Linked DNA regions of Saccharomyces cerevisiae S288C. Changing the gene in region 1 together with any one later gene gives a genetic interaction. Each region holds a gene or a part of one and is shown on either strand. Other genes may lie near its edges.

Evidence for each region.
Region 2: mutations in GTT2 (region 1) and SFG1 together harm fitness more than expected from each alone (negative genetic interaction), as found in Saccharomyces cerevisiae (one large-scale study listed by BioGRID).

What each region holds. Positions count from the first base shown.
Region 1 is NC_001144.5:20,520-23,560, forward strand, and holds GTT2 (glutathione transferase GTT2), read right to left. Parts: upstream 1,321-3,041; coding exon 619-1,320; downstream 1-618.
Region 2 is NC_001147.6:903,080-906,534, reverse strand, and holds SFG1 (Sfg1p), read right to left. Parts: upstream 1,776-3,455; coding exon 735-1,775; downstream 1-734. Other genes in the region: metal cation transporter COT1, read left to right, coding at 1-299; YOR314W (uncharacterized protein), read right to left, coding at 3,163-3,455. UniProt on the Saccharomyces cerevisiae protein: Probable transcription factor required for superficial pseudohyphal development in response to nitrogen starvation.

The DNA.
Region 1 (3,041 bases):
CGGCTGCCATTGGTAGGACCGCAATCACAGTGTAATTTTGAAGAACTTACATTGGGCCAATGGATGAGCTGTGACCATAATTTATTAGTTGTTTGTGTCACAAGCTCAGACTTAGAAGTTCTCTATTGCAAACATTATTTCATGTTTCCTTAAATTTTTTTTATTGCACCAACTTTAGTGACCCCTTGTGAGCTCCAACATATTTGAAATCTTCTTAAATTTCTAGTCGGCAAGCAGCAAAGAATTTCAGTAGTAATCTCTACCGCGGCAATATCGATGCAAATGTAACTACCTGTAAGGATATTGTCTTCAGTGGTTTGGTATGGTTTTGTACCTTACTCAACATCACGAATAAAAAGGAAGGAATACGAATCATGATATTGATGTTTAATCTTTCACCGTCAAACAATTAACATATATAGTATATATATTCTTTTATAGAATACTGCTTGAGCTATTTTTTTACTTGACAGAATGGCGCCGCGAAGAACCCCTAAATTTTGTAGCCCTAATTTCGATCAGTTATATATAGCTATGGCACCCTCTTGAATAGCTTCATGATTGGATCTTTTTATATAGTTTCCACGTACCACGCAAAACTTGTCTCAAGTAGCCACTTTACGAGGATTTTGAACGGATTTCTAGCAGTTTCTTCACGCTGGGGCGCTGTTGCATTCTCTTATACCAAGCTCGAAGCGCCTCGCACTCTTCCGGCACTTGTAGTTTTACAATTGCAGCAAATATTAGACCAGCTATTACTGTGATGTCAGCCATTGAGAATGAATCACCAGCAACATATGGGCGTTCTCTGAGAACGGTATCAAAATAATGCATTCCATGTAGGGCTTTGTCGCGCTGGCGAAGTCCCCACTCTTTGTTTTGGTAAAGCTCGACTTCAGGCCCCAATCCAGGTGTAGCATGGTGAAAATAAACACTAACAGGGTCGAGCAGTTCCAACTCTGCGCGTTTGTTCATCATGTGGATTACGCCTTTTTCCAGCGGTGTTTTGCCGGTAAGAGTGGGTGTACCATCAAGTGCATCAATGTATTCAGTAATGGCTGTGCATTCAGCGATTAAAGTCCCGTCATCAAGTTCAAGCACTGGCACTGTGCCTGAATAGTTCTTGGCAAGAAATTCAGGCTTCTTGTGCTCTCCCTTCCAGAGGTTGATCCTCACAAATTGCACACTTGATAGCATGTTCTTCTCAGCCAAGGCAATGCGGACTCGGGCCGGATAAGGCCCTGCGGGTGTGTCATATATTATCATTTTTTGTTTCATCTTTTCACCTCCATTGTAAATCAGGAAACCTCTGCCATTCATGTATCCTTTGTAGGTACTTTATATAGAGCACCAAGTTTCTATCCTTTAGCAGGAAGCACATTATTAATCATTTGAGACGTAAACGAATGAATTAGTAAGCAGTGAAAGAAATTCGAGCACTAAGCGCGACCTAAGGGAACGGACACGGAACGGAGAAACTGAAGTATCAAATACTTCCATTTGATCAAACCACTTGTATCCACTCCCTGTTTTGCACACGGTAGTAGAAGGTCTTTTGAATATTTACTGTAAATACCGATTTCTATGTCCTTCTTGTCCGATTATAGGATTCGGGTCATTTCCAGCGCCTACTTTCCTTCTTGATTTCAAAATGTGTGGTTAACGTACTCCCAATTGCACTACTGTTCCTACAGTTCACGCGCACCTCTTTCTGATGAAAATGCAGCTGCATTAATCTGCGATCTATTGGCATCTCGCTCTTGTATCTGCCCTCCATTCGTGAAATTTTACTCTATTACCATCTTTGATCATTTTTTTGTCGCAAATGTGATACGGCATCCATCGAATTTTGCTCGTAATTGTTTGCCATTATCGCCCTTTTCATTCCGTATTATTCATCCACTCCGCTTCATAATGGGTTCCAAAAAAAGAACTATTGTACGAGCTTTTAGACTCACGAAAACATTACTTGAACAATAATTAGCGCCTGCAGAACTTGACATAATAAAATTCCATTTTCGATATCTAGCTGTCTGAAGATATGATATCTAAGTAATACGGGAAAGTTTCCGCTATTATTCTCTGTTGCAAGCTCACGTGAAAATGTGGATTCGCGAGTGGGGTGTAAGTGAGGATTGCCAAGCCTTTTGTTCGAAAACTTCTGCAGGAAGCGTTGTGTTGCAAGGATGATGCAGCATGAAATATGTGTTTTCTTTTTTTCGAGGTTCACTCCTACAGGTGATTCCTTCGAGAAATTCTGCAACCCATTGTGATATGATGCCTGGCCGAAAGATTTCTTCATTTCTTCGGAGCAGGTTCGGCCCGAAATCCTCATGATCGAGCCGAATGCCAAGAAGTAAAACACCAGGATGACTAACCAGTTATTATCATGTGTATACAGTACTTTGGTACCTTTATCAAGAAGTATACTAAAATATACCAACACCACACACATGCACATGGTAGCTGAGCGAACAGTTTCGAGATTTCAGCATTAATTTCATCTAATAAGACTTTCCGTCTGCTTTCAAGATCAACGTGCTGAACATTTTTACTCTGCTTTCATAATACTCCCATTTTAGGCTTTGATTCAAAAGCCCACTCAATGCAATACCTAAAATGATATCCTTCAAAGATATGTTTAATGAATATGCAGCCACAGCTTTGAATTCAGATTGACCTTGTGTTGCATTAAGTCAGACACCTCTAGATTTGTGTGGCTGCTCTCAAGAAAGGATGTTGAAGAAGATTTATTTACGGAAGAAATAACTGTATACGGCATTTTATTCTTTCTTAAACGAGCAAATTAAAGAATAGACGGATAGAGACTGGAGCTTTAGCATGTGTTCCGAGAAGTCCTTGACACGCGCCACGGTTGTTATGCCGCACACTACAATGATGTGTTTGAAAAAGTATATTAATGCCTATTGTCAAGATGCAATTCATCAATTCCAGCATTGAGTGATTCTTCTCTGGTGCGGTAAAACATAAATTTTAAATCTAGTACTCAACCACCACTGAACAACTATTAATCATCGTGG
Region 2 (3,455 bases), on another chromosome or scaffold:
TTTTTATTGCATCTTTGCATATTCAACTAGATATCAGCCCGGAACAATTTACTGACCTGGCCAAAATAGTTAGATCAAAACTTCACCGCTATGGCATTCACTCCGCTACTTTGCAACCTGAATTTATTACCAGAGAGGTTACTTCAACCGAAAGAGCCGGAGACTCCCAAGGTGATCATCTACAAAATGACCCGCTTTCATTAAGGCCAAAGACATATGGTACTGGCATTTCAGGTTCCACTTGTCTTATCGACGACGCTGCCAACTGCAACACAGCTGATTGCTTAGAGGATCATTAAAAGGACTTTATAACGAAAAAGCGTGAAGAATTAAATACTTTTAAAAATCGTTATACGGTACATATACATACACACACACACATATATATAGTCGTCTATAATGTTTTTATACAATGTTTATCATAAATTTTGTTACAGTAAGAAGTATAGGAGATAATATAAAAAAAGAGGAAAAGCGAAAACAGGTGATAATAATGATGATCATAATAATAATATAATAGCAATAGTCTTGCAAAACAACAACTTGAGGAAGGAAAATAGTAATAATGGTGTTTAGCTTTTTTTAGATTACTCCAGCTTCTAAAAAAGAGTACAATACTTAGCACAATAATGCTGTTATCTTTTTTCATTTAATTAAAAAGACCAGTTGTTAAGAAATAATAAAAAAAAACTCCTTTGTTTAGAATTCAACAAATTAGAAGAAAAAGAACCTAGTTATTGTTCTAAAACCTTTGCCCACTGAACTTTTTTGTAGTCCTTCGTACTCTGTAGTTCATTACATTGCGTCAGCTCATCGCGCCTTCCTGACTGAAATTCGTAACCTCTTATTACTGCCGCGTCGGGAAGGTCGTCTTCATTGTCTTCTTCATTATCTTCATCTTCGCCAAAATTACTAGCTTGCCCATATATTTGGTCTTTAAGCTTCTTGTATTTCTCCTTAATTGAAGAGTTTACTGGAATTGTGAGCTTCTCCCAAATACTAGAAATTGCTGGTAATTTGTTTTCTTCATTGCTCAAAGTAGAATTTATTTCGGTGGCAAAGATGGTAGCGTCATTTAATGAGCCTCGCGACGAACTGACTATGAGATTCAGAGATTTGGCTGGTACTGTTAGAATTGATTTTTTGGGCTTCAATAGACGGTGAGAGGGTTCGTACCTTGTTGGCTTGAAGGTCGATCTGTTTACTGGAGATAACCTTTTTTTGAGTTTAGGCAATAAAAGTGGCACATCACTGTTGGATTCCAGTGGGCTCATCGGAAACGAAGAATGAATCATTCGGTGGAGCTCCAGTGCTTCTTTATTAACAAGCGGCTTACAGTTCCAGACAAAAGAATCAACGCCAAAAGGATCTAAAGAATCAATCTTTTCAACATCAGGCGATGTCGAGTTTATCGAAGATATATCACTCAATGGACTAACTAATTCATGTTCTGAAAAGCAGTCGTTATCAAAACTCAATCCAGGACTGACAATATTCCGGTAATCATTATATCCTTCGGTCATAAATGGATTGGTGATTTCACCTTGATTTTTTTTTATTGATACGCTAAGAGTTTGGGCTTTGACATTCTTTGAACTTGTCTTAAATTTGGCTTGGTATAAACGAAACCGTTTGGAGGGCGTAGTGTCTTCTGCTATAAAGCCTGATGAATATTTACATTTTTTACTTGGTGTACTGGGTATTACAAGCCCAATTTTTTTTTTTGATTTCGGTGTTCGCAACAAAAGTGTGTCTGAAGAATGCATTTCATCCATGTTTTTGAAATTTTTTTTTTCTTAATTTTATATTTCTCTTGTTTAACTAATCAAACATATTTACAGAACAACTTATCACCTAAACGCGCCTAAGTTCCAAATATAGCTGAAGTGTGGAAGGCACAAAGAAATGTTGCGTTTAAATAATACTTCGCTTGATTTTCCTCGTAGAGTGACAAAATTGATCCATTTTAAATTAACAAGAATGTTACCGCTTTAAAACTAAACTGTAAACAGTATCGAATGACATTTACGGTAACGGGCTTAAAATTCAAGATTTTCCTATCGAAATGGGCATGCATCTGTCGTTTACCTAAGCAAGGCTATGTATCGTTACACAACGTATTTAGTGTGTTGTGAGCTCTCTTGTTTACCAATTTGCACTAAGAGATATTCGCAGCTGAAAAAAAAAAGTTTAAACCCGATTAGAATAGCCATGGGATTTTCCATGCATTACTGCTGTCTATAACGGCGTGACCAGTTTAGCATAAATCCTTTGTCCGTAGTTTCTTTGAATCGTTCTGTCATACTGTTTTGTTTTTAAGACTGAGGCTGTCAAACTTTAATCTCAAAATCGGCCTGAAATCTTGAAAAAGCGGGATTGTTTTCTTTTTTTTTTTGCATATTCCCGTGGTTCGCATTTCCAAAAAGGGATTTGGTGCCTAGATATTTCCTTGTCTTCCCCTTTCGGATATTTACAAAACTCGAATATGTTATTTACTTTTATCCTAATTGGGCGATGTATGGATTGGACGAAAGTAGAAAGGTATAACTTGCCCAAAGGGTGGGCTAGCTGAGAGTTTTATGTGTCGAATTACGATCTCAAAAAACAGAGTAACGCAAAAAACCCCTACCCAAGAAAATGCTTCTGAATCTTAAAAGGACACGTCTTTTAAGAAGAGCTCGCAGTAGAGTAAGTTGTTATCTAAACTAATTACTGCCGTGGAATCGCCTTACTTTAAGGCCTGCGTAGTAACTCAATGCATTCTCTTGATGTTTATCCCCCAAGCTTGTTGCTATGCAACTATTTGTCCTTATAATATGTAGTATAGTAAAACTCTCGTAGTTACTTTCTTGGACATCACTGCTGTCCTGAGATAACATTATATGCTCTATTCCCATTGGTGGGACGATAACTGATTTTATTCATTCCAACCAAAAGATTGTACCGATATGCCATGACAACGAAATCTTGGAATACTTCGAAAAGAAAACACTTTTTTGTTGTCTTTCTGGGTGGGAACTAACGTTTCCATTATTTTTTTAACTGACATTGAAAAGGCAAAGCAACTGTCCTAGATTTTTTTGTTCTACTTAAAAGAGCCAAGGAGACCTAAAAAAGATAGTTATGAATATCCTCAGTATTGTTTACCCCTATACAAAAGTTCTAATCCAATAAATATGTAATGTTAAGTAAAAAGACGGAGAAGAAGCAGTAAAATAAGTCTCTTTCCTCTCCGAAGTAACGAAAAGAAAAGAGCAGAAAAGAAAAAACGCCGGTCTCGCTGCCTATGGTTCTATTTAAAATCATAGCATACAATAGACTTCGTAATGAAGATAACTGGACTTCTTTGCAACGGTGTTCGTCTATGCGGTCGTTAAGACACAAGGACTCAAGAGGGTTTAGTATCCTTTTTTTGTTGGTTCCTGCAGCAGCGTCAGACGCGTTGCTGATTATCG